Drosophila melanogaster: one gene and its partners. Changing the gene in region 4 together with the main gene of any one other region gives a genetic interaction. Each region holds a gene or a part of one and is shown on either strand. Other genes may lie near its edges.

The links.
Region 1: of sl (region 4) and ru, changing one suppresses a phenotype caused by changing the other (phenotypic suppression), as found in Drosophila melanogaster (one study listed by BioGRID).
Region 2: of sl (region 4) and Rack1, changing one enhances a phenotype caused by changing the other (phenotypic enhancement), as found in Drosophila melanogaster (one study listed by BioGRID).
Region 3: of sl (region 4) and Dcr-2, changing one enhances a phenotype caused by changing the other (phenotypic enhancement), as found in Drosophila melanogaster (one study listed by BioGRID).

The regions. Positions count from the first base shown.
Region 1 is NT_037436.4:1,368,663-1,373,656, reverse strand, and holds the start of ru (roughoid), read right to left. Parts: upstream 3,030-4,994; 5' UTR 2,777-3,029; intron 1-2,776.
Region 2 is NT_033779.5:7,824,827-7,829,089, forward strand, and holds Rack1 (receptor of activated protein kinase C 1), read right to left. Parts: upstream 2,421-4,263; 5' UTR 2,344-2,420; coding exon 2,235-2,343; intron 2,156-2,234; coding exon 1,944-2,155; coding exon of another isoform or gene 1,935-1,943; exon of another isoform or gene 1,708-1,934; intron 1,511-1,707; coding exon 875-1,510; 3' UTR 521-874; downstream 1-520. Other genes in the region: CG7115 (uncharacterized protein), read left to right, coding at 1-57; mts (microtubule star), read left to right, coding at 3,226-3,327. UniProt on the Drosophila melanogaster protein: Involved in the recruitment, assembly and/or regulation of a variety of signaling molecules. Interacts with a wide variety of proteins and plays a role in many cellular processes.
Region 3 is NT_033778.4:17,575,493-17,583,405, forward strand, and holds the start of Dcr-2 (Dicer-2), read right to left. Parts: upstream 6,034-7,913; 5' UTR 5,935-6,033; coding exon 5,914-5,934; intron 5,854-5,913; coding exon 5,723-5,853; intron 5,602-5,722; coding exon 5,424-5,601; intron 4,985-5,423; coding exon 4,677-4,984; intron 4,621-4,676; coding exon 3,924-4,620; intron 3,861-3,923; coding exon 3,303-3,860; intron 3,237-3,302; coding exon 3,062-3,236; intron 3,004-3,061; coding exon 1-3,003. Other genes in the region: CG6484 (uncharacterized protein), read right to left, coding at 6,638-7,333, 7,750-7,913.
Region 4 is NC_004354.4:16,348,667-16,356,336, reverse strand, and holds the start of sl (small wing), read right to left. Parts: upstream 6,023-7,670; 5' UTR 5,752-6,022; coding exon 4,447-5,751; intron 4,089-4,446; coding exon 3,608-4,088; intron 3,543-3,607; coding exon 2,689-3,542; intron 2,622-2,688; coding exon 1,551-2,621; 3' UTR 1-1,550.

The DNA of each region.
Region 1 (4,994 bases), on a different chromosome or scaffold from region 4:
ATCCCAATAGACTTTTGCACCCTTGGCTGCTCCATCGAGGGTATTTGGTAAAAGGAGTTCCTGCGCTATTCATCTGCGCCTTAGTTCGAGCATAAACATTTCCTAAACTTTTATCTAATTCAGCAAACTGCAGCAACAACGTCAGCAGCTTCATCCATTTTGCAAGATTCCCAAGACATTTCCACATTTTCCGACTCATTGTTCTTGTTGTTATAGTTATTGTGTGCTCCATCTTTGGACTTTTGTTTTTCTTTATTTATTGTTTTTTTTTTGTGTGTGGATCTCTTTTTTCGCATTTTTAGCGTGTTTCAAGTTGTTAGGCATTCAACTTTTCACATCGCTGCTCTGCTTATTTTTTGTTTTTCCGCCGCGAAGGTTTTTCCTTCAGCCGACTGTGTGTTGTTTTTTCGGACTTTTCGTTTCGCGTCGGTTTTGTGCAACACACACACACACACACGCCACTCGAGTTCTTTGTTTGTGTCGCTTTGAGACTTTGGGGCGCCTCAGCGTGGCGGGGGCGTGGCTGGTCGGTGGGCAGTGGGGGCTGGCGGGGGTGCAACTTCGAATGGTTGCATAATCCGGCAATTTCTTACGGAATTTATTCAATTTCTGAAGCACTAACTAGCAGCATATATACTTGTTATTTGAAAGTTAAATTGATTAGCTTAAAAGTTGAAAATATTTGTTAACATTTTTGGTTCAGAAAAGCCTAGTTGCACAACAATTTTTTACACACTATTTCGCTTCTGCACTGATTTATGAGCTCTATTTTGTATGCGTTTGTGCGAGTGAGTATCTCAAAGATACCATCAATGTATCTGTATCTGTATCTGGAGTGTGTGCGTGTGCACCTTGGCCGACAAGACAAACTACAAAACTGCTTGAGCCATTGTCTTGCAACAGCTCAACTTGAAATGTCTGCCTAGATTAATGCGAATGCGAGAGGGTCTGACACTAATGAAGGTCAAAGGTGATCCAAAAGGGAAGAGCGGTGAAGGGGTGAAGGGGTGAAGGGGTGGTGCGGAGGTGGAGACAGCTTAAGAATGATTAAACACTATAAACTGTTGACTTCTGCGCTGGAAAATGGGGGAGAACGACACAAATCAGTTGCTGAATTTAATAGCAGTCAGAAGTTTTGGCCAAATTTAGTTCAGCAAACGGAAGCAAATGGTAATTAAAGTCTTACAACTTGGATAGTAATTTTAATTCACAGCTTTCCTTTGATACAAATATGACTTGGGAAACTTTTTTTTACCATATATCTTTAAAACTTTTTCACTTCTGCACACGTTAGTAAAAGAAAAGTGGCCCGAAAATGGGTAAACAAAACTAAGCCACCCTGAAATCAGGTCTTTGGGTCTTTTTTCGACTTTTTTTCATTTTTTTTTTTTGTTTGTTTCGCTATATTGTTTTTATTTTCGGCGTTGCCTCTCTCACTCTGACGCGTATAAAAGCAAACTTGACACATTTAAAAACTATATATTTACAAACAAAAAACGAACAAGAGACACGAAAAATTAAAATGCATTGCGTATGATTTTTTCAAGAATAGCCAACGCATTAATTTTTTCGTATTTTCATGCACTCGACAAAAACTTCACCAGTGACAAAAGCCCAAGGCAGCCCCAACTCCCCTGTCATTTTGTCCATGATTTGTGCATCTGAAACGGATCTTGGTTTTGATTTCCATTTCGATTTCGAGACTTTGGCACTTTTATGTTTAGCAAAAGTTTCACGAGAATAGAAAAATTTCGGAAAGTGAATAAAATTCGCATCGTTGCGATTGAATGAAATACTTTTCGAGGCTGCGTAAATAAATCAAAGTGTAAACAAAAGTGAGCCAAATGTGGCGTCTTCTCGCCCTGGAGACACACGAACTTGGTGGGTTTGGTGGCAAGATGGATGGCCAAACTGGGAGCTCCGAGGACCGCCCACACGCACAGACAGACCCTCTCCATCGATCGTTGGCCACTCCTGCCTACACGCACATGGGTTTCCATTCGAAAAGAGACAATGGAAATCGAATAGCCAACCAACCAGTAGCTAGCTGGCCAAGAAGTTCTGGCCAGAAGTTGGCCAGAAGTAGCACTTGTCCGAGATCCCACAAAAGATATCGAAAATGGAGCAGGGCAGCCCACACATACATATATATATAAAAACCGGGTGACCCGGGGGAGATTTCAACGGAAAGTGCTTGCCATTTGCTGACAGCTCGGGCGCAAACGGTTTTTAGTTAAATCCGCGCTCCACGTTGCGTATACGCAATGTGCGACTGGTGGCTGGCTGGGTGGGTGGGAGTGGTTGGTAGCATTGCAGTTGGCCCGTTGCAAACGGCAGCAAATACGGATGCCGAACGACAAGCACAGATGTTTTTACAACCCAAAAGATACAAAGCAGACAGAGATACTGATGCTGAAGCTGCTGCCGCACTGACAGATGCAGATTTACATGCACTGAAAACAAAAACTGCGATGGCTAACTAATAAGATTGGTTTCTGTTATAAATAGAGGATGGATATTAACGGCAGTAAAAGAGAATATTATATATTCAGTGCGATAATTTTTCGCACCATGAAGTACACCTTTATTTTTTGCAGTGCTCGCTCTAGTCAAATACGTTCAGCTCAGCATGGTTGAGTTTGGAGCTGAGTTTTGCCAAGTTTTAAGCCGATGGATTTATTTTTTTGGGGGGTTTTGCCGGGATCTCCGTGGGTGAGATATGGAATAGATGGGGGATTGAGAGTGGGAATCCTAGGCGGGGGGTGTTATGACTTACCGAGGGGGGTGATGAAATGGTTGACTCTTGTGCAGGCCATCCGGGGGGGGCAGGATTATGTGAACTGGTTGCAGCTTCTATTTTTTATTTCTTTCGAGGATGAGCGACAAGTTACTGCGGCAGTCGATCCGAGCAGTAAATGCTACGAACGGTACGAATGTTCGGTGCTTTTCCACTAAGTTTTTCCTCGGTGGTTTTTCTCTACTTTTCCAGTGAACCGTTAGTTGCGCGTGCTGCCGCCGGTTGCCGTTACAAAGTACCGTTCACAACTGAGCTCGTTTTTTATGCGGCCCGATACTTTTATAGATTCGCAAAGTGCCGGCCTGGCCAAAAACCGAAAGGGGTAGAGCCTCCTTACCGGAGGGTTTACATGTGCACAGTCCGCTGTGTTAGTTGTGCGTGTGTTTGTGTGTGTGTGCTTTTTTTCCATTTTGCACCCCTTTCGAAAAGCCGGCTCTTGCTGGCCAAGGTAAGAAACCCCCCCCCCCCCCTGCAAACCGCCTCCCCCTTTTAAGCCACCCTTTTGAACAATAAAGCCAGGTGCAGCAAACATGTTCGAGGTTCGAACGCGTTGCCAAGTTTTCCTTTGTCGTGGCTTTTTGCTTTTTTTGGCCACCATCCGGTGAACGGTACACGCAAAGGAGTCACGTGAGGAAGTGAGATGGGGCGAACGAGTGAAAGGGAGAGGGATAGCCAGGAGCCAGCTGGCTTTTACCGGCAGCTGCAGGTGCGACAGAGAAAGTGGAGAGACGGAGAGCGAGAGGGAGACAGTTGCAGATGCAGCCGCCGACGGATAATTAACAAGTCACTTATTAAGTTAGCATCTTTGTCCCCTTAATCCATTTGTGAAACAGTGTTTTCCCTTTTTGGCTAATTAACTCAATTATTGCATTACCAAATGTGAAACAATTGGGGGAAACAAAAAAAGCGAGGCTTATGCCTCAAATTATATCTGGCCAATGTTTTTTCGTTTGCAAACTGATCTTGGTACTGTAAAAAAGTAAAAGTTTATGTATAATTAGATAGATTTGATAAAAAAAACACCCAACGTTGATTTCTTGCCCCTGATAAATAAATCAAAGCACTTCGGTCGCAGCTGCTGTTTTCGCCTTGTTTATTGGGTGTCAATAGGTGCATCCATCAGATACAAGACACGAGATACAAGATACAAGACACGAGATACGAGCTACCACCAGCCACGAGATACTTATTTATGTGGGCTATCTCTGGCATCTCTTGGGACCAGTCATCTCTTTTGTATCTGAACTTGTTAACATATCGAGTATAATTTTGATGTGTTGTGGCCTCCTTCCATTTCCCAGCTCAAATAGCAAATAGCAAACAGCAAACATCGAAAGGGCCCAGATACACTTAACAATTGCAGAAACATCTTCATCAAATGGGCCTCATTCTGCTGCCGCTGACAGCTGATGAGGGCGCTGCCCGACCCTTTGTACCGCCCTAGCCCCCTCTCACTCCCACACAGCAGCTATCTCGCTCGCTCGCCCTGCGAATACCACCTCGAATCGCGCAGATTGGATTTGAATTGACTTCAAGATGAATAAGGTGGCAGTTGAATAGGGTCTATGGACCCCCTTTTTTTATGAAATTAAGGGTGCCAAGAGGATAACTGTTAATATAATATAGGGGTGCTGTTTGCAATTTGAATTAAATGCAAGCTAGTTACTATAAAATAACTAAAACTAAGATTAAAGTTTCTTCCACATTACTAGATAGTTAATATGAAGAAGGTAGCTCGATAATAAATTAAAAAGGCACCAAATGCTTTGGTTTAAAAGTTAGCACTAAATACTAGCAACGACTAAAAAGCTTATAATTAATATCTTGTGCCGCAAATGTTTTTCCAGCGCGACCAAAGAAAACACTTTCAATTCAATTCCATTACGCGCAGTCGTAAAATAGAAAACACAGGATAAACATTTGCCCATAAAAATTGCATGGGCTAAAAAGACAATTTTTTAAGCTGTCATTTTTTTCGTGTTTTGTATATTTTTTTCCTCGCTCATTTTCACTCTTGCCCATTTATTTTTTTATATTTTCTTCAACGTGTTTAATTGCACAAAAAAAAATGAAGAAAATGAAACGAAAACAAAGAAAAAATCATAAAAGCCAAAAATAATACACACAAAAAACAAGGTGAAAATATTGCGCAAAGCAAAAATAAAAAATCACAAAAATAACAAAAGAGGCTACAACA
Region 2 (4,263 bases), on a different chromosome or scaffold from region 4:
TCTCAACCAGTTGCGCCTGCAGTTGTGCAACGCTCGAATTCAATCAAAACCAAATGAAAAACGATAGATAAGAGTGCCTGCTAAGAAATGCTCTTCAGCTTTTCTCCTAAAAATTTCCTTCTCCCCAAGAAAAACAAACGAAAGTGCCCGAATTTTTCTAGTTAGGCATTTTGCTAAATACCTTTTGACCTTTTTGTTACTTGTCCAAAGGCAGCGTTCATTCATCCCATTACAGACATGCATACACATTCATCACTCGAAAATGCGTTCATCATTTGTCTTAATATTAAGGTTGTTTGTTAGTCAATGTTGTTTTGTTTAAACAAAATATGTTTGCATCCGCCGCCACATTGCCGTGCACTCCGTTTTTCCAATTCGCACACGAAAATCATCACAGTCACTGACTCAGTCAGGGTAACATCATCACGTAACTATTTATTTAATTTATTTGTTATACGTGTAAAAGAAAACATTTTCTAAATGTCGAAATGTTTTTACGAATAAAACAATGCATACGAAACGAGAACATTTCGTTTTGCTACTTAAATTCAATTTCTAATTGTTTTTCTCAACATTATTCGTTTTGGATTTCAATGAAATGATCTGGTTTGTAGTTTAGGGATTAAAAACATCCACTTTCGATTAAAGTTTATATAAAATGTTTTCTTTATTAACATTTACTTATCTTCTGCCTAAACTAAATTGTCCCACTGTTTATACTATTCCCATCTATCCGGAGAAAACTCTATAGCCCAAAGCCTAAAGTTAAAACTAATTCAGCCGCTACAAGATACACAAATTTCAGTTAAGGACGCTTAAATTTTATTTTTGTTTTAGCTAAACAAATTTGACGCCCGTTACAAAGGTCAGTAGCTTAGTGAGCCGAAACAGACACCTGCCAGACGCGGATGGTGTTGTCGGAGTAGCCGGCGAACAGAGTCTGGCCGTCGGTGGACCAGGCCAGGGACAGGCACTGGGGCTGATCGGCCTTCGACGTGGGCGAAACGACCTCGGGGCGCAGCTCCTCAACGGTCTTCTTGCATGCCAGATCCCAGATCTTGATCGAGGGTCCGTAGGCCACGCACAGCCAGTAGCGGTTGGGCGAGAAGCACAGGGCGTTGATGATGTCGTTGTGCTCCAGAGTGTACAGGTTCTTGCCGTCATTGAGGTCCCACAGCAGGGCCTTGGAGTCCTTGCCACCTGAGGTGCACAGGGAGCCATCGGGCGAGACGGTCACCGTGTTCAGGTAGCCGTTGTGGCCGTGGTGGTTGTTCTTCAACTTGCAGTTAGCCAAGTTCCAGACCTTGACGGTGCGATCCCAGCCGCAGGACACGATGATCGGGTTGGAGTGGTTGGGCGAGAAGCGCACGCACGACACCCAGTCGGTGTGGCCATCCTCCTGGATGGTGAACTTGCACTCAGCCAGGGTGTTCCACAGCTTGATGGTCTTGTCCCGAGAGCCGGACACGATCTGACGGTTATCGGCCGAGAAGGCAACCGACAAAACGTCCTAGAAAGCGAACAAGCATTTGACGATTAGCTAATGGTATTGGTATGGTTTTCATAAAAATAATATATTTACTGGATATTTCACTGACCAACTGAATGGGCATAGTCCCAACTCAATTAGTCAGTGAACGGAATCCAGATGGGTTTCTTGCAACTAATTAGGAATCAATGGGTATCAGAGATTGTTTGCCTACTTACGATGGAGCTTCAAGCAATTTATAGCCGAGACTCGAGCGAAGGGTGAAGCGTACGTCGTACAGATGTCAACCAGTAATTCTGCCTCGCATAGGCGCAATATATATTTTTTCGATTTGTACGCGGCAAAGGCGGGCCTAACCTCACTCCTAACCTTACATTTAGCCTTTTGCCGGTACAGATCGGTTCAAAATCTCAGTTCCCTAAACGAACTAAATGCAATTGGAATCTTATCCCACCTTAGTGTGTCCCTCGAAGCGACGGGTGGTCTTGCCGGCGGCCAAATCCCACAGGCGAAGGGTCTGATCCCAGGATCCGGACAGGGCGTAGTTGCCATCGGAGGAGAGCACCACGTCGCTGATGAAGTGCGAGTGTCCGTAGAGACGCTTCTGGGGGTAGCCGTAGTTGGTGTCCTCGTCGCGGGTCAGCTTCCACACGATCAGGGTCTTGTCTGCGAATCGAGATGGTGGCCATTAATATACGCACGTGCTACCAGATAAATCCGAAGAATTTCAATGGCGATTACTTACCACGGGAGGCCGAAATTATGGTGTCGGGATCCTTGGGGTTGGTGGCGATCTGGGTGACCCATCCATTGTGGCCAATGAGGGTACCGCGCAATTGCAGGGTCTCGGACATCTTGAGTTTATATTATTTGCTACGGAGCGCGAAGGAAACACGTCCAAAGGCGCTGCAAGCTGGCAGAAAAAGAGGCAGTTCCGGTTCCAGTGCTCGCTAAGATGCCAACTGTCAGCGAGCGTTCAGTGTTGGACAGGACAAAACTATCGATAGTTTGAATTTTCTGTTACAAATAATACGTGTAAAATGTAACGTCAAATAATAATATCAAAAACTTTAAAATATATATAAAAAAAATAAATACTTTTACACCAAGTATTAATATTATTATATCTAAAGAACCCCAGAAATATTGAAGTTTAGTTTTAAAACAAATTGTGCTATTATTTAAGAAATAATCGACGCTAATGCACATCTATGAAAAGACTACTAAAGGATTTTAAAACAATCCCAATATCTTGTTGCCCAAATGCCTATGTACATACTTTTATTTTGTCACTATCACGTAATAATGTAAAAAAAACGGTGAGCGTTGATCCCACTTTATTTTCTAGTTTTACTTGGTAACTGTTGGCCAAATAGTAAGGATACCATCCACAAGTTTTAGTCGGTATTTTTGTAGAAATGTCAAGCATGCATCGCTAATCGATACACACACACACAGCGCGTTCTTAAGCGTTTCGCGGCAATCGGTCACACCGAGGGCAGTCTTTCCCTTCGTATATCGTGTCGTCGTCTCTTTTGTGAACAAAAAATACGAAGAAAATCGCCCAAATCGAGTTGATTCGATTGGCAATTGTGTGGAGATAAACGAGTGAATACGCGGTTGGCAATCGAACGCAACAGTAGTTGCTAATTTTCCTGCACCCCTGAGTTATAATAAAAGCCGTCAAAATTGAATCGACAAAGATTGACGAGACTTTTTCTTCCACCACAACTGCGATGGAGGATAAAGCAACAACAAAAGATCTTGATCAATGGATTGAGCAGTTGAACGAATGCAATCAGTTGACAGAGACACAAGTTCGCACCCTCTGCGACAAGGTAAGGCCCGGTCCTTGCCCATTTTCCCCATGCGAATTAGGAGATGTTATAAAAATAATTTTCGTCATTGCATGCGAGCGAGCGATTTTTTTTTGCAAATGGTGCTCCAACGCTGCGTGTCTCTGGCCCTCTCGCTCTTTCCAATGGGGAGAGGCGCTGAGCGGAGAGCGCGAGAGCATGATTCATGTCGTGCCCTCTTGCTCGCACAGTAGCGGCGGCTTGCGTCGCCATATTGGAATATTGGTAAATTCCAACAGCCAAGCGCCGCATTGCCGCGCACAAGTGCGAGCGGGACAACGGGACGGGCAAGTGCGTGCGTGAATGCGACAGCTAGAACAGCGCTTTGGTCTAATGGGCTAAACCTGGGCAAAAAGAGATATTTCTTTTTGTATTATTGTACAATTTGATTGTTTAACTAAAGTGCATTGTGCGTGTTTAATGTTGTTGTTATTGTGTCCACCGGAAACTGAGCACCCCCGCTCCGTGCAACCTCATGCGCGTTTTGTCGTTGCTGAGTAAATATTACTTAATGTTTTTGTGCGTCGGTGTGTGCGCGCCCCTAGAATATGTATCTATGTACCGTCGTATCTCAATTCTAGAATAATGCACTTGCATTGGTGTTTGTGTTCCTTTTTTTATGACCAACCATGTTCAATTAAACACTTTTGATATCAATTGTTTTTAATTTGCCGATTTTACCGTTCATCAGGCGCGTCGCGCACACAAACAAACAGACAAGCAAAAAGAGTGCAAGAGAGGGAGAGAAAAAGAGAGGGTGAACAGATAACGATTCATTGATTTAGGAGTAAGTGGGGTTATGTTTGCGTCACCCAAATATTTGTCAGTGTTCCCATTAGAATCTTGAATCTCCGTTCTCCCTCCGAGAAGAACGTTCTTCGCTCTTCTCGGGTGCGTCTTCTGCGGCCTCTCTCCATC
Region 3 (7,913 bases), on a different chromosome or scaffold from region 4:
TTTCCATGCAGGTAAATTGACAACTAACCATTACAGTTTCCCCTTCGACGATGGGCGAGCTAAACACGGGCTTCGCATGCTTGTGCTCAACGAGCTGTCGTATATGATTGATGGGCACTTTGCGCGTGAACTCCTGAAGCTCCGGCTCGAAGAGATTGAAAATTACCTCCCAAGTACGTTGGAGATCTCGGCAGTCCAGGTATACGGCTGCAATAAGGGCCTCCAGAACATCCCCCAACGCCTTTGGCACATCCACGTTTGTGGACATGTTGAACTCACCTTTTGGTGGGACTCCTTTCTCTGCTTCCTGAGAAATGCATTTATTTGCATGCGGTAACTCAGTCATATCCAATTCGTCATCCAAGTCCAGCGGAGTCGGCTGAACATCAGCTTCCTCGAGCAGAATGCGCACATAGTTGGTAACCCGGTGACCCTGGCTCTCCTGGAAATTCACGAATTTGGATATGATCTCGGAGAGCTTTGCGTTCTCCGCTAGGATAAAAAAGTGCAACCGATGCCGCACGCAAATGCAGGCCAGCGTAGTATTGTTGACCAAAGCGGAACGCAGATCTGTGAGGGCGCCCGGATTCATTTTCGTATTGTTCTCGAAAATATAGGCAGAGATTAGAAAGTCGAGTATGGCATCGCCAATAAATTCCAGCTCCTGATAGGACCCAGTGATGCGATTAGTGGGATACGAGGGATGGGTGAGGGCCTGCAACAAATATCGTCGATCCTTAAACGTGTAGCCAAGATTTTTTTCCAAATAATAGTGATTTATGAGAAAGCCGTCAATTTCTGTAGTATTCACGTTCGCCCGCATTTTCTTGCCGCCCAGTTCGAGGTTCAGTAACTGAGTAAGCGGCTTGTCAATATCCGCACGGCAAATCTTGAAGTACTCTAGCATCTTGAAGGCATGCTGCAATCCGTAGTTCTTAACGATTACGCCCAATAGCGCCTCAAGGGTATCGGCTATCACCTTGTTGGGAATCGTGACCAGTCCCACGCAGAAGTTCACCTCGGATGAAAAATCGGCACCGGCATAAAAGGACTGCCCATTTGCTCGACATCCCTCCACGAAGCGGTTGTAGTTGATATCGCTGCAGTTGCCCTTCACCAGGGACTCCTCATCGCCGAGAGCCAAGTCACGGAGATTGTGTGGGCCAATAATCTTTGCGAATTCCGGATTTTCTCGCCACAAGGCTAGAACATTGTGGGGCAAACTGATGCCAGGTGGAAGCCATGTGTATCTAGGCGTAAACTGAATGGTGTTGAGCGTTTTGGGAATGTCCGCGTCGATGAGGCAGAACAACAGGTTACGATTAGACACAAGCTTGGATTTGACCTCTGTAAGAGTGCCCTCATTCCAATCCGAATACTTGCTGGCCAAGTAGAGCGTGGCACTAAGTTTTAAGAAGGAATCGCCCAGAATCTCAAGGCGTTCCATGTCGAAAACATCCGCTGCGCTCGAGGCAGTGATTGCAGCCAAAAACTCGCCCTGCTCCGCTGGCGTTATATGTTCTTTGGAAACAGTTTTTTGCAAAATGAGCAGTGGTTTTACCTTCCCGCGGACAGTCGGTTTCGACGGCATCAAAGCTGGCACGTTTGCGTTAGTCTTGGCCGGAGTTCTGTTGCCATAGATATTACCCGTGGGCATATGGAACTGATTTTTTGCCCAGTATTCCTTATCTTCAAAATCCATCTCATTCATCTCACATACATTACCAACGCTAAAATGATAGTAGTAGTCCAGCTCTACGGGATACGTACTCAAAAGATTTCGCGACAGATCAACCGGCTCCATATACTTTTGCCAGGGATTTTCGAATTCTGTTATTTCAAGATTGGCCACGGACGCCTCAATGGACTTTGTGGGCATTGGCTCTAAAAGGGATTTCGGCTCCTCGATATCCTCAGTTGGTATGACATTGCCCAAGGGGTCGACATTCCGCTTTAGCGAATAATCAATTTCTAGTGGTCTGGGCATGTAATCAGTTCCATTAAAAGGCAGCAGATGGAGGTTTAAATACGTATTAAATCGCTTACGTAAGGCCTCTGCGTGGAGAAGGAAGTACATGCGGTTTAAAATGCTGGGTAGGAAGATCAACTTAAGCCATAAATCCCCAGGAAAGTTAAAATTGAAGCATAGCTCCGGAATCAAAATAACTTTCATCTTAGCCTTGCTCTTCGCGTTGAACTTTCCACGATTATGAACGTAGAAAGTGAGCTGTTCCGTAAGGTCTCTGACCTCGATCATAAACTTATCCTTGTGAACAACATCACCAATGCGGTTGCCGTACTTTGACATGGTAAACTCGTAGTAGGTCTTGTCCTGTTGGTTCTTTTCCATATAACTTAACGGTGTTAGCTCACGGTGCACCTTTGTGACCAGCATGGGCTTATCATAGTTGGCATACCATTGTGTAACAATTTTGCCCTCAAAATCTTCAGGACGTGGAGCAGGTTGTTGCTCGCGTTGCTGTACATTTGACCCATGACTTTGCGGTAGTCTTCGGAAGTTGGTCATCAGTTCCCAGTCAAAGCATTTCTGTTCACCCGCACCCAGTATGAGAGGAACTACCAGGTAGGAGTTCTCCTTGCTGCGACGATCCAGCACAAAGAACGGATGCCAAATCTTCAAGATATCGCGGAATACCATTCCGTGAAACTGATGGAGCAGCTCCAGCTGTTCGGAGTTCTGGATAATTACTTCAAGTGGTGCATTGGCCACTCGAACGTGTAGCTTACCCTGATTGCTAAACAGGGGCATCTCTGCAAGGCGTGGCAGCTTGTTCCGCAGCAATATAGCATAATTTCTTGGTGTTTGGAGATTTAAATACATGTGTTCCGTGTACTCACACGATTCAAACTGCGGCTCCAAAAATATTTCGTAGGCATAACAGATTTCACCTACCCGCGGAAGTGCGTCGTAAAACTCTAATGGACATTCGGTCTTGTAGGTTCTGTCCTTGCTCTTATCGGCCTTGTTGACTGTCGCAGTCACTATGGTTGAAAGATTAATATAAGTAAACATATCTTATGCGAGTTCTTGTGAACCCACCACTATCGCCATACTTATTCCAGTGCTCAAAATGAACATCAGCAATAGAGGCTACGCGCTCCTTTAATGTTTTGGGCACGAATCTCTCGTTTAACTCTCCCAAACTGTAGAGTACTTTACACGCTTTGAAGGCAGCTGATATTTTGGCTGTTTTAACATTGTCCATGGGATCGCTCTGAAAGAAATGAAAGCAATTAACTCTATTTGATTTTGCCATTTTCAATCTGAATCTCTAGCTTACGTAAATTGTGTCTCTTAGCATGCAATTTACTGGCATGTTGATTGAAATTACGTGCTTGCCCTTGGCAGAAACACCAAATATTCTATCACGTTCGTCTTCTTGCAATACATGGAACCAGGGGATCACAAAGCCAAAAGCATCCGTGGGAATTGTCTGGCAATAGCGATGCAGTATGGCCAGGGCATTGTTGGGAAGCAACACGGCACCGTTCTCATTGGTAAAAGGGTCAATATCGTCCTGGAAGTGCCCTTTGATTTCGTACAATTCTGGCTCAGTTTTTTCTAGAACTCGATCCTTTAAATATTCGGCAATGTCATTATGCGCTTTTCGATACTGATAAATTTGCTGAATTGTCTTTTCCCTTTCCTTATCAGCTGTGAACAGCACGAATTTGGCCTCAGTGGTACGAGCCCGACCCTTTGACTGCACGTACATGTTAAAGGTTTTAACAGGATCAAGAATAAAGACATGATTGCAGGCCTGCACATCGATGCCTTCTTCTAGGACGCTTGAACATATCATAAGATTGGCATTACCGTCCCGAAACTGCTGAATGGCCTGCGAGACGGTAAGAGCATATTTTGAAAAATATCAGCAATTAACGATAATTTCCACACCTACAGATTTTTGCCATTTTCTCTCCAAGACGCTCTCAAAGTCTGGAGAAATATTGTTGCGGCCCACCATGAATTGGGGCGTGAGCACGTTTCGCAGCTCAGGCGTAGACTGGATGTAGTTGAGCAGCAAGCCATAGATGCACTTGCAGGTGTAGCGGCGTTCAACAAAGACCAGACAGCAGATATCTTTGGGATCTTTATCAGCGAAGGATACCTTAAGACTCATCAGGAATCGCTGCACTTTCGGGGTGGAGAAGTTCATAATGACTTCCTCAGTGTTTACGTTGTCATCGTCGTCGTCATAAGTCATGTCTTGCAGTTTTTGCACCAGCAAGTGACGGATTTTCTCGCACAAGGTCAAGGCCGTCCTATGCATCAATTTCACGCTTAGCGTCTCGGCCTGGCGCCTCTTTATATCGAACTCAACAATTAACGAGATTATGGCTATGGAAGCTGCGTAGATGCCATACTCTTTCATCTGGTACAGAAAATCGTTGAACAGTTGCTTTACAAAGCTCTTCTTCGACGGATCCCGCAGGCATTGCAATGACTTTGACCTTCGGATCGGTTGAACGCCAATATTCATGAGGTCTAAGGATACATAGAACTTTTCAATTTCTGCGCTTATTAACCTTGTAACCGTGAGCACTTGCTCTTGATGTGGAAAGGACACCATGACCTCTGTGGGCTTGGTGGCGTACCTGAAAAGAATATGCACTTGTTGGGAAACTGTAGCTAAAATGCCACCCGCTCTTACAGCATCACGTTTTCCATCTCCTTGGTGTCGGACACGGTAATGATGTTTCCCCGATATGTGATCTCTAGCTCTTTAAGTTTCGTGGCCACGTTCGTAATTTCATTTCCCTTGATTAACACCCCGGTGAGACCCACCACGCGCGGCAATTTTGTTTGATTAGCGATAGTGAACAATCGCATGAACTCACGAAATGGGTGGTGACCAGTGCCGTGGTGGCACTCGTCTATGATGACAACGCTCAGGGAGCTTAAAGCCACGTACGTCTGGGTGACCATGTCCAAAAAGACCTGGGCTGTGCCAACAAGAACCTGTTAAGAACCAAAAATTACACATGTAGGTTTAATTCTGGAAGCAGTGTATTATTATTAACTATAAATATTCCTCGAATTACACTGAAAAGTCTAACATGAATTCAATGTAATAAAAATGACCATCAAATCTACTACTCGATGATCCAGAACAATCCACAAACTCAAGTTAATTTTAAATAAACAAATAAAATAAATAAATAAACAAATAAACATACTACAAAAAAAAAAAAAAACAAATAAAATACATCAATTGACGAAATGATGATTTTGTGATGGCTTAGCAAAACACGACCCCTTACGAGCCCATAAAAATGCTGATCCCAAATTTTTCGACTCAAGTGGTGATCGCAATTGCAGTGTGTAGTGGTAGTGTAGTGTTTAGTCCGTACGTGATCATATGCGTATATAAAAAATGCCTCCGCCATCCTATACTCACTTGGTTTTTTTTGATTTCATCACTCCACATTCCGCGCGTCCAGTCATCCACTCCCTGTTCACCCACATAAAAGCCAACCTTAAAGTTGGTGCACCGCCTGACGGCCATCGCCTGTTGTCGGGCCAATTCCACAGTATTGCACATGAACAACGCACGCTTTCCGCCGCTTTCGATGGGTCTGTGTAAACAAATCGGAATCCGATATAGGTATTACATATAATAATATATATATAAATGTAAGTATCGGATATAGGTAATACATATAATAATATATATATGTATATCCATTCGCTACTAACTTGTCAAAGTCCTGCGAGAAGCGCTTTAGGACCAGGATGGCCACGAACGTTTTCCCAGATCCTGTGGGCAGGTAGACAATGCCATTGCTCTTCGTTAGGTGGTCAACCAGGCGAAGTTGATAGCCGCGAGGCTGGAAAGGATTTTGTTAATTATTTTGCAATAAGCGAGAGCGCAAGCCAATTCATTTTACCTTGATTTCCACATCTTCCATATCTTCGCTCTTGGTTACAGAGTCTTCGGGATATTTTGATATTACAATTTGAAGTCAAATAATTTACGATTAAAGAACAAAGAAGCCGGTGACAGAGTGGCCAGCGGCTCTTATAAGATGCCTTGTGTCAAACGTATTAAGAATTGTGTTTCAAAACGGACTGGTCACACTACGCAGTGCGGTTCTTTGAACTTAAATTATTACCACAAACCGCAACATAAATAAATTTGTTTTGAAATGCTCGCTGCCAATAATATACCTTCCGGAAATAATAAACGTTTCCATTTTTATCGAAATCTGCAACAAAATAATAAGCATTTTCGGTAGTGTAAGTTCGTGAATTATTTATTATTTGAATTCTTAATCAATACCAATTGTTAAGAATATATCACATCACTTTTTGACCCATACTATCCTTAGATCATTTAGACCTTCGTTTGCAGCCCTCCTCCATACGAGTAAAGTTTCTTATTTCCTCATTTTTTTCCAAGACTTAAAATCTTGTCAAACTAATTAGAATTATACTAATTGAGTCTAATTAGAACTACACTGACGGAAATGAACGAAAATTCAATCGGGTAGTTTATATACATGGTGATTCTACTTTATTGATTATGCTCTTCACTTCTTATACATAACATTTTCTTATTGGCTTAAGGAGAATATGAAAAAGTATCGCTACGACTAAGACTACGCGACATCATCACGTCTGGCTCTTGTCATCACTTTTGACACCCTTTCCTCCGGACAGCAGGTCCTGGATTTCGATTATTGTCTTGCCCTTGGTCTCCGGCACGAAGAACAGAGAGTAGAAGAAGGCGATGACCGCGATCGCGGTAAAGATCCAAAAGGTCGGACCCGGCCCGATCGAGCTCTTGAGGATTGGGAAGAGCAGCGTGACCACGAAGGCCGACAGCCAGTTGCTGGTGCCGGCAATCGATCCTGCCACACTCTTCACATCCTCCGAGAAGAGTTCCGCCATCACCAGCCACGGCACCGGTCCGAATCCAATCGAGAAGAAGATTATGAAAATGCAGATACTGCTGATCGGCAACCAACCGAAATTGTCCATTGAAGCCGGATCGTTCTCCTTTAGCTGAAAGTACACGCCCATCAGTGCAGTGGACACGGCCATCAGAACGCCAGAGATAAGGAGCAGGATGCGACGGCCAGCCTTGTCGATAATGGCCACGGCAACCAGCGTGCTGGTCACTTGGGTGACTCCAATGATAAGCGTGGCATCGCTGCCACTTATGTCAGAGCCCGTATCCTCGAAAATGGAGGCGGAGTAGAAGAGAACGGCGTTGATTCCCGTCCACTGCTGGAAGACCTGCAGGAGCACAGCGATTCCAAGACCCTTCAGGACGATGGGTCGACGAAGGGAGGACAGAATGTTGACCTGCAATAAAAATAAGACCACGTATTATTTTCTAATCTTCACCAAAATCAATGTATTTATTAGGTATGATAAGTAGTATCTGCTACACTGATTACTAAATGGAATAATGGAAACAAATTACGTACCTGTGTTCATATGTAGTTTAACTACGAAATCGTTTAAGTTTAATGCAAACCCTATCTTGGTTCAAGTTATTGAAAATCTTAATGAATGAAAACAAAATATTATATACTATCTGAATTTACAACATTTCTTTTATCAGGGTAAGTATATGTATGTATCACTTCCGATTGTGTGATAATGGAAAGAGTAATAAATCTGTTAAAGCCCTGCGAACCCTTTATAAAGTTTCTTTATGCCTTCAATATCGATCGATTTTGATTGATTGATTGATTATTAGTGGAATGTTAACTAACCTGTGGCATATCAATCTGCTTCTGGGACTCCTCCAGGATCTCCTTGAGCTCGTCATCGATATCGGCATCCTTGCCGCGCAGCCACTGCAAGGCCTTGGCGGCATCATCGTTGCGTCCCTTCATGGCCAGGTAGACGGGTGACTCCGGCATGAAGAAGTGTATGA
Region 4 (7,670 bases):
AACGTACAAATGAAATACATTTTGGGTACATATACACATACATATATACTAAGCATGATTTGCTAATGCGCTCAAACGCGCAAAATGTCCAAATTAGAACTATTGTGCGAATGGAAACAGCAGAATGTTTGTTAAATAATTAAATGCGAGTGCAAGACAAATGATATCGATCGTTTCAGTGGGGCATTCGTATGGAATGCAAATAGTTTCAGATTAAAATCCTAAATGATTCGCATAGGGAGCACAATTTCCACTTCTTAAATCGACTAGTGCATTTTATGAATATCTAGATATATAAATTATATAATGCATTTAGTAATAATACGTCTATTGAACTTAGGCTTTAGATATTTAGATTTCGCAGTTTAGAGAAGAAGCTAAGTTAGAACTTTGATTTTATAAAAAATAGATATCTTTGAGCTATATTATTATTTTTCAAATATTTGTTATTTTAGCAACAGGTGTACTTCAATAGTTAACGTTCAAACATTTAAAATTTCGATCATTTCGAATTTTAAGGCACGTTCATTTAAATGTAATTGAATAATTACATTTTATTTTAATATTGTTTGCAAACTTTTAGTTTTTGTAACATTAGCTACAACAATCGTGGTTAAATAACATAGACACAATTATGTGGTATATCGTAATTGTTAAACAACTGGAAGACATATGTAATCAAAGTGGTTTAAATTTCCTTTGCCCTTTTTTTTTTATAAATTGTATTATTACTTTAAGCTTTAAAAGAGAAAATAAAAAAGGTAAATGCTAAATGATTGAAATGCTGTTTGAGTATTTGTGCTAAGAGAAAGGTCTAAAATAGTTTTCCAGATAACATATGAAAGTGGTCTATTTTCTTCAGTTAAAAGTCTTTAAGAAGATTGTAATATAATACTTATGAAAAGCTGATCCTGAAACTGAATATCAAATGCCCATTAAATTGATGCCAATTGAGCTGTTTATGAATTGTTTCTATTTCTAATTTTGGAATCAACTTAATGTACTTAACTTTTGATGGTAAAACTGGTAAAATGGAAATAGCTCAAGTTCCCTAAATCGAAATCAAATCAAATCTGGTTTGCTTATGCTTATAATGAGGTGACGAATAGTTAAAACATATTCGTATCATTCTATTCTCCTGAATCAATCTCACGCACAAATACAACATTTAGAGGACAACAGACTTGAATGCTTAGTGTTATGGAAAAGTGTACAAATTATACGGATTACATAAACTTGATTTCAGTTCCAGGAGTTCAGAATTCATTGTTACCATTTGAATACTCATTGTATAGTATGAACTAACCATAACTGCTGATGTGTATAGAAAGTAATCTAAATCTAAATCATACGTTTCAGATCCTAAGCTTTTTAGACAAATTACAAGTGAGAGAATCAGGTTCATAGTTCGATGAAATGTTCTTATGTACAAGTTGTTGATAAATTGCTTTTGCGAATTAAGTTCGCTTTCCTTTTGATCTAGCGCAATTGTTTTCGCAAACACTCGATTTGGAATCATTGATATTGATCCAGCTAACTCAGCAATCCTCTTACGGTGCGGTAACATTTGCTATCTTAATGTTGATCAGCAGGGACGATAATTCCAGCTCCTCGCTGAACTTATTTCGTAGGATGACGCTGCGATAGCCCTGGCGAATGCAGGTCAGCGGATAGCACGCCTGGGCGATGAAGTGCGTCTCGGCGAACATATCCTCGTCCTGCACTTCGAAGCGAAGGATCGCAAACTGTGGATTACGCACGTTAAACTCGCACGATTCATTCCACACCGGATTGAAACCATTTTCATTGACTTTGGTGCGATACTTAACGCCCGTATCAAAGCTAGCGCCAATCAATTCGACCACGATCTGCGGATTGTTCGATTTGCCGCCCCGGAATAGATGACGTGCGGCTATCAGACGTATGCTAACTTTAACTTCGCTTAGGCCATCGCACAGCGGATTGTTCGGATTGAAGCTGTCAGATTTCATGAACGATGGCTTTAAGATATAGCCACATTGTCCATTATTCCGAAACTTGGCCTGATTCAGCTGCATGGCCTTATCGCCTGTCTGATAGTTCAGTGCGATCATCTGGGATCCAACATTCCAGAATGGCATGGGATTAAAATTCGACGAGTCCAGGCGCTGACCCTTCGGATACACTCGGCTAATCTGATTGCGATGGTAGGAGAGAAACAGTTGTGTGTTCTGCTGGAAGAACTGCTTTTCGGCCTTCGTTTCGGGGAAACTCGACATTTCCTGAAATATCCACGAGTGCTCGCGGAACGGCACGCTGCGGAAGTAGATAATCAGATCGGACATCTCCTTGGCCACCCGGGCAGTGCGCTCCTTTTTCCGCCTCTCCGATGCCAGCTGACTGGCGATAAGGGCTGCCTCCTGGATTGCCTTTATCCACTCGTACGCCGTCTCCTGATTGTCGAAGCCAATCACAAACGGATTCTGCATCGTTGGCGTTTGTATCTGCAGCTTGAAAATAATCCCCGGATCGTTGGACTCAAAGAGCGAGGCAACAGCTCCGAAAATCTCAATGGAATCGGTGCGTCCATCCGTGCCCTCTTCGTTCAGCGAATTGTAGTCCTCGGTAGTTGAATCGATAACCTAGACATTGGAATTTTCAAGAGTTGAATATAGTTGAATTTCAAATAAATCTATATATGCATCTCACCTTAACGTAGTTTGCCGGCAGATGCTTCTTGATCATGCCACCATAATCTCCAATCCACCACATCGAGTTGTCCCTCTGGACATTCGTTATGATGGCATGCTTGGGAAAAGAGAGTTCGTCTGGCTTGTTCGCCTTATAGCTGTAGAGCGCCTTGCACGTGACATTCTCCTCCAGATTGGAGCCCATGTAGTTGGAGGCACCGTTGTCATCGTGACCGCCACTATGATCACCCTGTGCCGCCTCCGCTAGCGCCTGACGCAGCAGCTCCTGCGACACCGGATGGCTGAGCTTAACATTGCGATAGAGTGGATTTCGGGTATAATAGTTGATCAGCGAGACCAGAGACTCGAAGTTCATTGTATCGATGCCGTACAAGCGTCCCTCCTGCATAATGCGACAGTGCTTGATCTTTCGATTGATTGTGAACGAAATGACAAAAGCGTTAATGCTCTGCACCGATGGCCGCACTAGAAACGAACCAATTTCCAGCCGGTATAGACCCTGTTCGGCCTGCTCCTTGGTGGTGTTCGGATGGAACCACTCCTGATCCTCGTGCTTTTTCGGCTGCGGAACTGGCTCTTTCAGTATAATCGAAAACTCTGAGCTACGCAGCATATTCTTGCGATAATAAACGATCAGTGAGTACAGTGAATCGAATACAAAATTCTCCACTAGATAGTACTTGATCGATCCATTTTCATGCTTTAACTTGATGCGGCAATGATTCGGGCGATTACGTCGCCAGAACGAAAGGCTATAGTCTCCCACAAACGTGGCCGATTCCCGAACCAAAAATGTACCATCGCCAAAGTGTTTGTACTTCTTTAGTAGATCATCAGCCTCCTTTCTGCCACCTAAAATGCAAATTGTTAACGAAACAAATGGAATATACTGCATATATGTCAACCAATAAACGCACCTTCAAGTTTCCCATGGAACCAATTCTCGCCGAAGTGCAGCTCATCGTTGGCCGAGGTATCCTTTTGCTTTTGCTGCATATTGCTGTTTAGGGAGCACGACGAAGAAAGCCCAAAGTCATCATCCTCGGAGTTTCCGTTGCGTGACTCGTTGATCTCAGAGGAGTAGATTAGCTCCTGATGGGTCAGAACGAACTGATAAAGATTCCAGGACTTATCGACCGGATCCTTGAAGTAGAGCAGTCCCTCCTTGAACACCTTGCGCACATTCTCGCCATCGTTCTCCCCATGCGCTCCACCGCCCGCTCCGCCCAACGATGATCTATGGCCCAGTGAACCCGTGCTAGAAATCCCATTCGCGATGTCGTCAAACTGCGGCAACTTCTTGTGCTTCAGGATTATCTTGCGACGCAACTGGTATGGCGATGGCAAGTGCTGCTCGTTTCGATCACAAGGTTGCGTAAGCAGCATATCCCCGAAAACCTGTAATGGGTCATAAAAGGTATAAGTCAATGGATTTTTATGCGATTAATACTTAAAGCATCAAGAAATATCTAATTACCATCGTCTTGAAATCTAAGTAACTAAAAATATTGCTCTGTTACATTTATAATTAGATTCAAACGAATAAAAAGCGAATTCTTCATATTGTCATACATATTCCCAACTATCGAAATATACAAAATCCATTTCAATTATATATTAAGTTAGGCAATCTCACAGAAAGCCATAAAAGAACTCATTATTACAGCGAATGAATCAAAAAGCAAACATGCAGATCTCCTGTTTGCATGGAATATATAAATTGTTGTTATTAATAGATTCGATTAGGTCAACTTACCTCGATCAAGGCCTGCGCCATATTCCGCTGCTGTTCCAGGGAGCAATTCTGCTCTATGGACAATATTACCGGATACTCGGAACTGGTGAACGCATGATCCTTAATCGTCTTGATGACATCCATGAACTTGATCTTGGAGGTAATGGTGTGGCCGTGAAATATGTAGGGCAGATTGTCGGGCCCGTTCCAACAATCCAACTCGATGCAACGGCAGCCCATGCGAAGAGCGCGGGCGTAGGCCTCGCAGGAGGATTCACTGGAGAACTGATCGCCCGTCAGGTAGGTATTGTGCGACGATGCGATCCAGTAGGAGGACAACGGCAGGTTCATGTCCATGAACACTTGGTCGTACTTGCTGTTCCACAGGTCGTTTTGCTTGGAGAACAGAAAGTCGACGAACTCCGGGAAGGTGAGATACGGCTCCTGAACATCACGTTCCACGTCCTGAACAAAGTCCCGAATGAAGGAGGCAATGGCTGCGCTACTGATCTCACTGGCGCTCACATCGCGCTGTTCCGTCTCGAGGAACTGCTTCAGCTCCGCCGGTCGCACCACCTGTTGGTCCTCCGAATAGGGAAAGTTGGCCACTCCCGATCCGGACAAGACGCTGGCAAATCCGTTGGGCAGCAGCAACTTCTGATATAGCCGCGAGAAATCATCAAACTTGAGATCGTGCTTGCGCCGCACATCCTCGGTAAAGTGCTCCATGAACTTGCCGGTGGTCATCTTACAGCTAACTCCGGCCAAAAAGAGCTTAAAGTCCTTAATGGTCACCTGGGCTGGCGACTGTTCCGTGGCCTTGGCGGAATGCGTGTTAACATTCTCGATTTGATAGTACTCGCGACGCAGCCAGCGATCAATTTGCAAGGGATAGGGTGCTCCCAGTGTGTCCTTAACCATGTAACGCAATCCCCGCACCCAATTGTCGGCCTCGATCTCCGACAGAGCCACCACCGAGAAGCTCTTCAGCTTGAAGTGATTGCCGTGCAGTATGACAAAGCACTTGCTGGACTCGAAGCGCTGACAGTCGTCGGCAAACAGGCGAAACTCCTTCGAGTGCTTGCCCACCCGTATCTCGCGAATCTCCCGCAGCTGTATGGCGCCCTCGTAGTCGGTGCGTGGCGTTTGTGTGGCCACCGTTGCCCAGAGCAGCTGTCGTGTCTCTCGTATGAGCATCAGGTGGCGGCGATCCGGACGACGCTGTTTCCCATACAACTTGGTCACGATGGTGCCGCGCTCCAGCATACCAATGGTCTGCTCCATCTCGCCCAGCAGCGGGGCACTCATCGCACTAAAGCAGCTCATCCTGTCCGGTCCAAACGTGTCGATTCCTATCGAATCCAGTTCTCATCCGCTGGCTGCCACAGGTTGTTTCTCGCCTCGCCAACCGATCGCCAGACTAAGTGCAATGCATACAAACTATGGGTGCCAGCGCGTGGAACTATTCGCAGATCAACTGCTCCCTCTCTTCCAACTGGTCGATGCACAAATCACGGCCACTGGGACTCAATAAACCGAGATTAACAATGCAATATCCGAATTGTACCCAAAAAATACCACAGAAGCAGATAAGATAAGCCAGCTGTTGAGGAAAGTGCCAGTGTTGCCAGGCCGTAATGTGGGTACAGAAAATACTAAATCCACGCAAATGGGGCGTTCACACTGCGGTGTATTTCGAATTGTGAGGAAATAAAAAAATAAATTGACTATTTTATTTAAAAGTTTAGCTTAAAAATTGCTCCATTGTTTACATACTTGAATAACTGAAATATTAAAGTGTGACCAGTTTTATCTTTTGTTTTGAAGTGCGATTCAAAAATTCGTTATGTAAATAGTATTCCTAGTTTTGAATAAAGCAAAACTAAGCATACCAACCAAATCGAAGAAGCTTAAAGCTTTTATTATAACTCACCTTATGTAGATAGGAAAATAAATCCCGACCTGAAGAATTCCTAACTAACTAACTTGAAACCAAACGAACATAAGTTTTCTTGATATTGTATTTAAAATAGATTTACAAATTAATAAGCTTAGGCAATTGACTGATTGTTGTTGTCTGCTTTTCTACCTGTTCACACATGAACACGAATATATTTAAAGACTTACAATTTTGGGCTCCGTTCATATCTTATGTAAATGAATCGAGAGCGATAAATTATATTTAGGATTTTGTTATCTAAGGCGACATGGGTGCATTGCTCAAAAACATGTAATTTAAGTGCACACTACATGAGTCAGTCACTTGAGATCGTTCCCCGCCTCCTAAAATAGTCCCTTAGTGGGAGACCACAGATAAGGTCCTCGCCGCTCAAGATAGGCAGATGTGCCCGAGCGTGGGACCTCGATAAGGCGGGGACTATTTACTTAGGCCTCTGCGTAGGCCATTTACTTTAAGATGCGATTCTCATGTCACCTATTTAAACCGAAGATATTTCCAAATAAAATCAGTTTCTTACAAAAACTCAACGAGTAAAGTCTTCTTATTTGGGATTTTACATTTGGTCAATCGAGCCTTTAATCGACTCTGCAGTTTCCCCCTACCAAAGGTAAGGAACTCAGAGAAAGGCCAGCTCCTTTAAGCATCTTACAGCTAAAGGTAGCAAAAATAAGTGACTCTTGTTTCCCCCTACCAAAGGTAAGGAACAGAGTATAAATATAAAAAGCAAAAGATACAAAAGAATCTTTTATGTTTTAAAACAAGCACCTTATAGTCTATAGCTAAAGGTTGCTTTGTGTACCATTATAAATTGTGGTAAGGCGTGCTTGAGGCCATACATCAGCAATTGTGAAATTAAAAAGTGCATAACAAAAGTGCCTTATAAATGCTCTAATAGCATTAAATCAGCTCATAAATAGAGTGCAGTGTATATGCCATAAGAGCATAAATTAAATAAAAAGTGCCTGAAAACAGTGCCTTATAAATGCTCTAATAGCATTAAATCAGCTCATAAATAGAGTGCAGTGTATATGCCAAAAGAGCATAAATGCCGAAATAAATGGCTAAAAAACAAAAAATCTGACTGGACTACAAAAATAATAAAACGTGCAAAAAAAAAAAAAATCATCTTTAAACATCGACGGAGCCTTAAAGAAGAGAAGGAAGTCAAATTCAAAGGAGCCTCTACCAGCAGCAGAAGCAGCAACAACAGCAGCAGCAGAAGCAGCAACAGCAGTAGCAACAGCAGCAACAACAGCAGCAACAGCAGCAGCAACAACAACGACAT